Tribolium castaneum: one gene and its partners. The main gene of each other region encodes a partner of the protein of the gene in region 2 in a complex. Links are inferred from orthologs where the notes say so. Each region holds a gene or a part of one and is shown on either strand. Other genes may lie near its edges. The genes, in order: nmdyn-D7, Grip75 and gamma-tubulin complex component 2.

Evidence for each region.
Region 1: Grip75 (region 2) and nmdyn-D7 share a complex: the UniProt entries of both Homo sapiens proteins name them as parts of the gamma-tubulin ring complex. The link is inferred for Tribolium castaneum from reciprocal best matches to the Homo sapiens genes TUBGCP4 and NME7.
Region 3: Grip75 (region 2) and gamma-tubulin complex component 2 share a complex: the UniProt entries of both Homo sapiens proteins name them as parts of the gamma-tubulin ring complex. The link is inferred for Tribolium castaneum from reciprocal best matches to the Homo sapiens genes TUBGCP4 and TUBGCP2.

What each region holds. Positions count from the first base shown.
Region 1 is NC_087396.1:11,132,717-11,137,005, reverse strand, and holds the start of nmdyn-D7 (nucleoside diphosphate kinase homolog 7), read right to left. Parts: upstream 2,950-4,289; 5' UTR 2,935-2,949; coding exon 2,928-2,934; intron 531-2,927; coding exon 1-530. UniProt on the Homo sapiens protein: Possesses an intrinsic kinase activity. Displays 3'-5' exonuclease activity with a preference for single-stranded DNA. Does not seem to have nucleoside diphosphate kinase activity.
Region 2 is NC_087396.1:21,170,723-21,175,068, reverse strand, and holds Grip75 (gamma-tubulin complex component 4), read right to left. Parts: upstream 2,906-4,346; 5' UTR 2,768-2,905; coding exon 2,720-2,767; intron 2,673-2,719; coding exon 2,257-2,672; intron 2,210-2,256; coding exon 2,044-2,209; intron 1,997-2,043; coding exon 1,700-1,996; intron 1,583-1,699; coding exon 1,351-1,582; intron 1,306-1,350; coding exon 1,125-1,305; intron 1,073-1,124; coding exon 865-1,072; intron 812-864; coding exon 743-811; intron 692-742; coding exon 419-691; 3' UTR 418-418; coding exon of another isoform or gene 380-417; 3' UTR 345-379; downstream 1-344. Other genes in the region: vesicle transport protein USE1, read left to right, coding at 29-331, 380-417; Su(var)2-10 (E3 SUMO-protein ligase PIAS2), read left to right, coding at 3,352-3,378, 3,530-3,699, 3,751-3,892. UniProt on the Homo sapiens protein: Component of the gamma-tubulin ring complex (gTuRC) which mediates microtubule nucleation.
Region 3 is NC_087402.1:3,140,413-3,142,939, reverse strand, and holds the end of gamma-tubulin complex component 2, read right to left. Parts: coding exon 2,183-2,527; intron 2,139-2,182; coding exon 1,792-2,138; intron 1,745-1,791; coding exon 1,601-1,744; intron 1,483-1,600; coding exon 1,411-1,482; intron 1,135-1,410; coding exon 959-1,134; intron 926-958; exon of another isoform or gene 908-925; coding exon of another isoform or gene 892-907; exon of another isoform or gene 791-891; coding exon 712-790; 3' UTR 601-711; downstream 1-600. Other genes in the region: mucin-3B-like, read right to left, coding at 9-44. UniProt on the Homo sapiens protein: Component of the gamma-tubulin ring complex (gTuRC) which mediates microtubule nucleation.

The DNA of each region.
Region 1 (4,289 bases), about 10 Mb from region 2:
GTTGTCCCCTACCAGCTGGAGCGCCACCACAGGGCCCGAGGTCATGTGGTCCACCACGAAGGGCAGGAAAGCGGAGCCGCGGAGGTGGTCGTACAGCTCCAAGCATTCGGCCTGCTTCAAGCGGCACATCCGCACGTTGATGATTTCGAAGTGGCGGTCCTGGATTTGGTTGAAAATCTCGCCGATTTTGTCGATGACGCTGACTTTGATCACGCCGAAGGTGTGCTGGCGCGTGTTGCCGATGATTGTTTTGGTGCGGCAATCGGCATAATCGACGATTTTTAACTGGCGGTCGTAGATGCGGACCTTGTTGCCCACGAAGACGTCGTCGCGGCTGATGCACTCGTAGAAGGAGCGCTTGAGGAAGGGGCGCTTGAGGTCGATGTCGTAGAGCTCGACCGTGCTATCGACGGGGTAGTAATTCAGGAGCAGTCGCTTCTGGTAGGCCGAATCGAAGTCGAACCATTCGGCTATGAACGATAATTTATCACCGTAATCGGTGCCGAACGATGATGACATTGTCGGATTTACTGGAATGTGAAAGGCCGTGACAGACACGTCAAATGAAATACTAGTTGCGTTATTTAAAATTTATCGAAGAAGAGCAATTTAAACTTCCCTCTTTCGTGGTAAATTATTTATAGGCGGAAAAATATTTCACTTTCAATAAGCCCTGAAGTTATCTACTATTTTATTCCGGGTTGGAGCTGTTGTAATCTGCTTATGTGTAACCTACTAACATTTTACAAATAACGATTTATGAAACTTTACCTACAGTTTTAAATCGGAGAGTTACAACCCCCTGATAATAAATTTCAGAAATGCGTCATGTAATGCGAGATTTATATGCAAACAAGCTAATTACTATTTAAATACGATTCTTCACTTGAATATCAGGAAACTATCTTTGCATTAATTTGATTTCGATGTCTGCTGAAAATATTCATTTTTCTTTGCTTTTTTTATAAATGAAATTGTGGACTGTCTTTTCAATACTTATAGAATTAAGTGGAATTTTATATTTCGACACAGATCTTCCATTCCACCGTAAATCTATGTGGGAGTTATCGATGTCCGGTATCAAAACAATCAAAGGAATCTCAGCTTCAAAAGAATACTATTTGAAATGGTATTTCATACGAATTGTTGCATTTACATACGAAATGCACAAATCGTTAACTTCAGTAATTATTGTTATAAAACTTGAGTGAATTACGAGATACCTAAAAAATTGACCAAATCTGTGAAAAACTAACAATTACTAGGGAGGGAAGCGAAGTTCAAAACTTTTCTGTACCGAAAAATTTAGTACAGCGGATTCAAAACAAGGGCACGTTAGACCGCCTCGGTTTCAAACTCGGTATTTTAAGTTTAAAAAATAAAAAAAAAACAAAAAAATTAACAAATCTTAACAATATTTTTCAAAATGCTGGGAATGCGGTTAAAGATGCAAGAAAAATGTACAAAAGGTAGTTGTAGAGAATTTTGATACAAAAAATAGTAAGTCATTCTCTGTCTTACGGTTTACGCCCAAAAAACGATCAAAGACGGATTCGCTAAACGGTTGAAAAAAAGAAAATTTATTAAATTGAAATCTCTTTGTCAATTCTAACTTTGCAAATTAGTAAAAGTTTTCTTTTTTCGATTTAGTTTATTTGAGTTTATTCTGTAATTCATTATTAAAAGTATTTTATTAATGTTTAAACTGAATTTGCCGTGAAAAGGTTTAATTTCTGACATGGTCACTTTGTGCAGTCAGCCCACGATAATTCAGAAGAAAAATTTCTTGGTAAAAAAGCGTGTATTATTAATCTTGCTACCTAAAAATAGATAGAGCAATTACATTTAAACTCACAAGAATGCATTTCTACGAGTACAGTCATATCTATTCCTTACTGTTCCGGCTAATTAGATAAAAATAAAACTTTTGACCCACTAAGCAAAATACCAAGAGGTTAACAGCTCGTAATTACAAATTTATACAGCGTTTTGTCCATTTAATTAAGCGGGAATTATATTTTAGTGTGTCATCTGTTGAAACAAATAAAGACTTTTCTGATTTGAATTGTTCATTATAACAATTTCTAGTAGATGTGTATGTCAGAAGATACATTAATCAAAAAATTAGCGATGATATGGGAAATATCTGCAATAACCGTATTATGTTCAGGTATGACTACTGCACTTTATTACTACCAAGAAAATGAGTAAGACAAACTTAGATTAATTACTCCCGTTTCTACTTTATTACTTTAAAAAACTGAATGGAGTAGAAATTGGACGTGTGATTCTCAGTTTATTTATAACATGAATTTTATAAATAAGAAATAAAAAACAAGTCTAAAATCCTTAATCAATTATAATTAAAAATTATCAACACTATAAAAAATTATTGATAATAAAAGTATTTATTAAATTTTGCGTCGCACCAAAATAAGGAATATATTATTTACTACTGGAAGTAAATAATACACGCTCCAATGGAGACAAAATATTGTTTTTATGTTTTTTAAAATTCAACCGATGATTCGACATTTCCACTGCCCCAAAAAAATTGTTCAAATATGAAGTTCATATACTTCTCGAATGGCAAATTACGCACGAGAGGGATCACAATTTTAGCTACCTAGCAATTTGTCGAAAAATTCGTTAGAACAGCGTGGTTGTTTATGCAGATTCTGCTCACACACAACAGTGATTAAGTCGGTGTCAAATGAGGAAAACCCAATAGAATCGAATAGATTAAGCGATGCCTTAGAGGGATCCGAATGTTTATGAAAAGCATTTAGACAAAAGCCTTAACAAGGGTGTTTCAAGAAGAAGTGAAGTTGATGTTAAAAGGGTAGCAGAAGCAGTGCGGCAATTAAAAAGGGTAAATCGACGTTTGGGGCTTAGTGGATTAATTTAAAGGGAAAAAACCCACTTACTTAACATGAATATTTGAAGGAAAAAATAAAAAGTTAGATAATCCAAGATTAAAGATAAAACCTCCATCACGTTGACCAACGCAGCTGGTAATTTGCGGCCAGGAGACGTATTTTTCGTAAACAACCCAAAGTACATTAATCAGATAAAATTCGGAAATTTACAAAGACCGCGTCCACATATGGTCCCGTCACACTCGCCGGTTATTAACATGTTTTCCGTTAATGATTGAAAAGGTTTCGATTAGCTCCGATTTATAAACCAAACAAATCTCCCTCGGCTGGATGATAATTACGCTATCAGTGACAAACAACACGCAAAAATCGCTAATCTTTCCGTTAAATAGTGCGCTCTCAGGGGAAATACCCGATTCATCAGTGGCGCACTAACCTGAAGCCGCCCCCGAAACCTGAGTGGCAGCGTAAAGTGGCTGCGCCCGCCGCGTCCACAGGTGCTATATAACGTAGGCCACCAGCTATACGAAGTCGTCTTCGTGTTGTGCTTTTGCAACCAACTCCAGCCTCCGGAACCTGGATTTACCATCTGTACCGGTAAGTGACTCGATTTGCTCCCCAGCGGCTTCTGAAACCAAACCCATTTACGCTCAGACTGCTGAAAAAGTTATTTAAAAACGAATTTCGATAAAGTGCGTTATTTGGTATCAAACGCATTTCATTCCATTTCCTGAACTTAAAACGTGTATTAAAAATAATGCGGGGCTTTATAGACGCAAAATCTAATTAGGATATTTAATTTAGGGCGGGTTTTTACAATGCTTCACCGTAAATTGAATGGCCGAAGACCTTTCCAATCTTTAAAATAACGTTTACTTTAAATTGTTTCAAATAATTAAAACAATTTTAGTATTTCAAGTTAGTTTCAGAATTTATAAACGGTTCTCATTTCTCTTGCACTTCTTTGCATCAAACTTGCCCTGCTATAAATTAATTGAATTCTTGAAATAAAAATAGTAACATCAAAAGCTTCACCTAAATTATGACCAATATCGTATGTGTAAATATTTTATTATTGTAGCAATAAGGCTGAAGTTAATAAATTATTCCCAATTATTTACCTCCATTTCTATTTTTTCACATAAATATTTAATCGGCAATGCCTGAAATTATTCCCAGAAGATGCACTACATTGATCTCGTGTTAAAACAAATTTTACGCTTTAGGACTCGTTGAAGAATTCCGAATTCATATTTTCAAGCAGAGAAACATTTGTTTGTCTGACTAATGGATCTAGATAGTGTACAAACAATTGTAAATTTCGAAATAATAAAGTTGTTGCTTACATTACGTTAAAATTCAAATTTCACAATAATGTGGTGTCCAGGTACCACTTCCGGTTTAGCCGGA
Region 2 (4,346 bases):
CAGTTCATGGTACTAGTAAAGCTTGCAGGCGTGAGGCACCGCAAAGGCCCCGAAACGAGCGACTTAGACCAAGTTTTGAATTTCCACGAAAACATGCAACAGAAAATCACCGACGATATGCTCATCTTGACCAAAAACTTGAAAGAACAGTCGGAACTAGCCAATAAAATTATCAAAAAAGACACCGAAGTTGTGTCGCGATCGGCGCAACTAACCGACCAAAACTATTCCAAACTGAGCGCGGAATCGAACAAATTGGCCGAGCACTCGAAACGGGCCTGGAAATGCTGGATGTGGATCATGTTACTTGTGGTTGTGGTTGTTTTTATTAGTAAGTCGCCGAATGAAATAACTTTGCCTCCTAATTAATTTATTCCAGATATGGTGTTATTTATGAAAGTGATGAAGAAAAAATAAATTACGTTCTTTGCGTTAGGTTAAACTCGGGTTTGTTTCGAGTGAAAAAGCGATTAAAGTCGAGCTGGTGCAACAACTGGACCAAGTGTTGGCCATCGGCTCGTTCATGTAACTTGTACAGAATAAACAAAAGCGAATCGACGATGGTATCGGTGCGTTTCTGGAACTGTTCAAACTCGGTTACTTCCGGTTCGGTTAACTGCGGTTGCCATGTCGACGCAATGACGCAGAAATTGTCACACAGCTCCAGCAGCTGGATTATCACGTTGTAAACCTTTAACAAACCATTAATTGTTCAATTAAACACTTAATCAACAATTATTACTTCACTCGGGACGTTAAACTGAACGGCGGGAGTTTGGTGTAACCGGTGTTTGTTTTGATAAGTGTGGCTCTGCAAAATTAATTCAGTCTAACCAAAGTAATTTCAAAACCGACTTGACTTACTTTATCAGGGGTCAGGATGAAAGTTTTCGCGAGTAAATTGCTGATGAACTCGTGATGGACTTTGATGATCTCCTCGAATTCGTTGGCGTTTTCGATCGCTTTCAAAAGTAGCGAAAATTGCGCCTCGATCACGTCCACTTGGAGGTAATATTGTAGATTATTGACTAGGAAAATTAAATGCTGGCGTAAAGTCCACACTCGCCGGTCACTAAATTTGCAAAAATTAACAATAACCGATTGATTATTTAATTAATACACACATGTTTTGTTTCCCGGACATGTGCGCTTGCCACAACTTGTGTAAGTGGATCTGAGTTCTGCTCAGCCTTAACAAGTAGCAGAATAATTGATTGTACAGTTCCATCGATTTTGGGTTGAAGATGATATGAAGGGGCCAACTAATTTCGAAATTGAGTTGTAATTTCGACCACGGGTTCACGCCTGAAATAATCAATTAGTTGGGGACATTAATTGTGTTTCCCCCACTTGTCTTTTCCAGTTTAGCTAATTCGAATCTGAGGTACGTCTTGTCGTTCTCTCCGTAGATTTTCCGCGCAGTTTCCAGGAAAATCACGTTGAGGTTGTACGAAGTGGTTTGATTTTCCGCCGCTTCGATGAATTGGTGGAAAAGTTCGCCTCGCCCCAGCGCATAGTAATCTCGTATAAGTTGCAAGTGTTCCTTTAGGTCGCCCTCGTCCACCATAACGGACCACAAGTACTAGAAATTCTACATTATTACGAGTACAGTGAAAGCTATATTTTTTTTAACGAAATCTTCCTGTTTTTGGCACAAAAATTGAGTTTATTACCAAAAATCGTGGAAAAAAATCCTTACTTTGGTTAACTTGATTCTGCACTCCTCTATAACTCTCTGGAACTCCATCTGGTCGAAAATTTGCGTCTCGAGCGCTTGAATTTTCTTGTAATACTCTATATCTTTGCCGTCCCAAACGTCAGGCTTGTGTAGGTTTTGGTAATTATCTGTGTTGGTTTTCTGGTGGTTTTTGACGATCCATACGATTCGGCCCATGAAAAGTATGCTTTCGGCCGTATCTTCAGTGATAAACATCGGAACCATAGACCAGACTATTGTGAATTTGCGGACAGGTGGTGGGCGCTTGATTCGGTGTTTCTGCAAAAAATTGTTAAAAAAACGGTTAGCGAAAAAATTCAACGTACAACTCGTGTCAGTGTGCTTTCTTCGTTTTGCTCAGGGTAGAGGAAATCCTCGTCCCAGCATTCGCCATCGCTGATGAAAAACTCTTTATAAAGGTCGACCAAGTCGCCGTAAATGATCCAGTTGCACAAGTGGCGGTAAAAAATGCTGTTGAAGCAGTGAGTTATCCTGTAAGAAAACCGCATTTAAGTGGTTTTTCAAGGGTGGGATTTCACTTTTTCGCAGCTTGGGTTATAGGTTCCACGCCACAGTAGATGTATTTGTGGAGCCGCCCCATAAGGAGGCACCCATGGAGCCTGTCCTTCTCCACGACTTGAATAATCGACATAATCACATTGAACAATACTTGGTACTTTTCCAAGCAACTTGAAATGAAAATTAACTGGAGCTCGGGGTTTTGCAAGAACTGATCTTCCAGTCTGACAATTTCGCTCTTGTAATCCCCCAAAACATCAAGCACACCGTTCACAAAAGCCTTGATGTAGAGACCGTGTTGGTCAACACTACAGTTCTGGATTTTTTTGCAAAATGAGACGATCCAGTTGTGGTTTGAGGATATTTCCATGATGTGGTGGAGGAGTTGCTTCTCCCCCGGGTGCAGGAACTCCTGGAGTTCGTCAAGTTTGCCCAACTGGAACAAACAATTGCAAGGGGGCTCCACAAAGCGGTCACAAATACCGAATCGTCCGAATTGTGCAACAAGTTAATCAGTATCTCGTGAATCATTATGGCCTTTTTTACCACCAATAAAATTATTTAACCTCAAAACATCAATTTTTGAATTAGCAAATTGCTGCCAACCTGCCCACCAAATTTTTCATTGTTAGAAATATTTAGTTTTGTGTGGTGGCACCCAAAACATTTTTTTTTCTATAAATTTCCAAAAGTGTCCAATGTGTTTTGATAATGTTGCTTCGAAACGATAACAATTTGAATTAACAACAGTTGGAGTAACTAAATTATTTGCGATTGTTTTCTCTTGTCGTAGATTTGAACTTTTGTGTTGGTGCTTTTCGCTTTCGCGCTGTAGTGTTGGCAGCGCGCAGTCCCTTATGTGAAATCGTTTGTTGGTTTGTTATTTTGGCAAAAATCGTGCATTTCGAAGTGACGCCACGAAAAATAGCCCAAATCTGTGTGCCAGAAGTGCGTGGGGCGTTCTTTTAACCCCCTGAAACCGCCCTATTGGGTAGGCTTTGAATTGACGATCGGACGCTAGCTCACTTGATGTTTGACAAAAAGCCGTGTTATTCATTTGTTTAAATGGTTGAAGTGACGTTAGAGGAGATCTCAAACTGGATCAGCCACAGGAAATGTCAGAAAACATAGATGAGTTGCGGGTAAGCGCCCCCTTTCCACCTAACCATGTTGGTGTTTGTGTAATTGGCCGATAGTTGCACATTGTTTCAGCTTATCGTGCGTTAATTTCTTGCATTGTTCAGTTGCCAGGGCCCCCTTGAGCGCGTTAATTGATCTTTGTTTTTGTTCAAGAATATGCTAATTACGTTTCGGGTGTCCGAACTGCAGATGCTATTGGGTTTTGCTGGACGGAATAAGTCAGGAAGAAAAACCGAGCTTCAACAGAGGGCTTTAGAGCTCCTTAGAGTGCGATCGCATCCGATTCATCAGAAAATCAGAGACTTGTACAAAAGTATTCAACAGTGAGTTGGCAGCGTTCGGTCGCCCCCTTGGTTCTAACCCGCTTTTCACAGGCAAGGGGGTTCCTTGAGCAACGTACCAACGCCGTCATTATCACCAGGAAGCAAAGACCACAATATGCCGCAGCCCCAAGGGACGGTGCCGAGAACCACCGCCACAGTGCACCCCTACAACATCGACAGTCGGCAATTATCCGTACGTGTCTTAACTTAAAGCAGTTTTTTTACGTAAAAAAATATTATTTTCTACATTTTTTTCTGTCATTGAGCAATTTTTCCACTGGTAAGTGATTGCTTTTTGGGGAAATAGGTGGCGCCAAGTGTTTCGACACACTCCTGAAACGGGTTCGATGAACATAGACCAAGGTTAGGGGCTCAGAAATGGACGATCCTTCTGATGTTCAGATGGGAGATGATGAATGGGTCGTTCAGAAGTCCATTTCTGAGGCCTGTAGCCCTTTTTGTTACGACTTTAAGCAGGCAATACTTTTCTGATCCCATCGTTGCTCAGAAGGTCCTTTTTTTCTTAATAAAAAATTTGTAAACATGACTCAAGGCTCTTGGTATTTGAGCCATAAATGCGATATGAATGATAAAATTGTCTAGGAATGGTCATTTGATCCAAGTTTTTATTGTAAATTTCTTGAGAA
Region 3 (2,527 bases), on a different chromosome or scaffold from region 2:
GCCCTTACCAAATTGAAAAAGAATATAGCCCACAGCACTTTCATTTTTCTTTCACTTCATAGCAGCTACGTTACTTCTGAATTAATGATACGTAGTGGTATTTTTATGTTTATTCGATTTTAATTGTGTTAACTATTCTTTTTTAGCATAAATTTTCTATTGTTGTCCATAAGTCCTTTTAAATGTTATTTAAATACGGTATCTTATCTTTGGTTTGCAAATCTTTTTTTCAATAGAAAATACTGGGTAGTGATTTGAGTTTATTTCATATGGAACTTCTTTGTTCTAATAAGATTAATTTAGAACCGTATATTTGCTAAAATAATATTTCAGTTACATTATGGGTGTTTCTTTTGGTGTTATAACAAATGACGTAAAGTATGCAACTCTGACTTACAAAGAACTGATAAACATGGTGTTTCGAAGTGATAAGTATAGAAAATGAATTATGAGGGGATTAGGACTTCATGATTACGAAGAAACGAAGTCGGGTAAATATTTTTCTTAAAATATTTCCTTTGAAAAGCTAAGCGCAAGGAACAGCCTTACTTTTACAGAAGGCTGTGAAAAAGGATTGTTATTAGGTTAAAAAAACACAAATTGCGGTTTTGATTTTTTATTAATTAACTATGCTAACATAAATATTCTACATAAACCCTAACTTATAGATGTAAATCAAAATTACACCAAAAAATTGTACATCTAAGCTAATCAACCAGACGATTCAATTGTGATGGTCCCAAAATCCTTCTTCATTAAATCGCCAGAATAAAACGAATTGAAGTCCAGCCTGTAGAACGATACATTAAACACTTGCATCCATTTGATTTGTTAAATAAGCTCACCAAAATACGGGAAATAAATCATCGAAAGGAAGAAAGGAAAGGAAAATTAAATTTTTCTTAAACTAATTGGTGAGGCAATGGTGAGTATAATCGAACGAAATAAACATATTTACCTGTATAACAAATTAAAGAGCCTGTCGTGTTCACTGCTATCCTTGTTTAAATTATTAATCTGATCCAGCAAGTTTACCAAAGCGACTGAAAATTGTACGTCGAATAGAGAAATTCTTTCCTTGAAGCTTGGCGCTGTGGAGGCGTGGCTTGCACTGTCTTGGAAGGCTTTCTCATTCTAAATCAACACAAAAATTATTGGCGATGTTATAATCACACTACACAAAAATCTAGACATGCAGCATTCAACATCTTTAAAAAATACTTTCATATTTTTTATACCGTAGATTCAAAAACAAAAAACATGTTTACCAATTTTTTGAATCATTCGGTATAAAAACAAAGGCTACAAAATGTCACTGATCAATTATTATTATAGACACAACAATAATTTGAACAAATTTATAGAAAAGCGCTAATTATGTAATAGCGCCACATGCTGAGAAGCAAATACCTGATGAAATGATTCATACATAGAACTTGGTAATGAACCAAGTTCAGCTTCCACAAAGTATTTCTGCGTCCTCTATAAAAAATCAAGGGCACGAATCAATAATTTTGTAAAAAATCACAGCTTTCGTTTCTAATTACCTCAGAGATTGATCAAATGTAGGAAAGTGATTAAGGGAGAATTATTAACAAACCTGCATAAATTGACAGAAATCCACGCAAATTGCCAAAAGCTTGGTAACCGTGCGAAGAATCGGAGGAATTGTGAGCATGCAGTCCTTCAGACAGCTATCCAAAAAATCGCGATGGCAAAACAATATTTCATCGACGTTGTTGACCTTTCAAAATTAGAATTAGTTTGCCGTTTTTATTTTAAAAATCTTACTTTGGAAATTTTTTGCAGAAATAAGCACCAGTGAGGTTCAATCACCTCCACCATCATATGATATTCCAAATTCTGAACGCAATGTAACATCCTCTGTCGCAGAGCAAAGGCGGCCCTATAGTGCTGCGCATCGTCAAAATGGAACTTTTTCGCAACTTTATTGCACTTCCAAACTTGGCAAATCATTCTCTCCACATACTTGCAATAGAACAAATGCCTAAAAATCATCTGGTAACACGCCAGAGATTTTCTGTTCAGAATCAAAGACAAGGGCCAGTGCACTTCGTAACTGAACGAGAACGAGTCAATAACGAGAAGTTTCTGGCGCTCGTAGGCGGTCCGAAAGTCTGGAACACAAAATTAATCCCAATCCAGAAACACACTCAAGCACCTTGCTCCATATTTGTCTGAATTGTGAGTATTTTCATCATTTGAAATTGCAGATCATAGGGCAAGAGCTCGGTCCTTAAATCGTCCTTGTATGGGTCGCTCACTGCGCTTGACAGCCTCAAAGCCAGATCCATCAGCGATTCGATGCGCCCTTGAATCACATCGCCAACATCTTTACTCAGTTCTTTTTCACACAAAGTGAGAAACGTTACGATAAAATCGCCCTGGTCTAAGAGAAAATAGTGTTTGACGGATCTCAGTCTCCCCAAAAGATCCTTTTCCTTCACAACTAGCTCGAGTAATGTTTGGCTTGCAAATTTATACGCATTTTCGATCGCTTCAATGT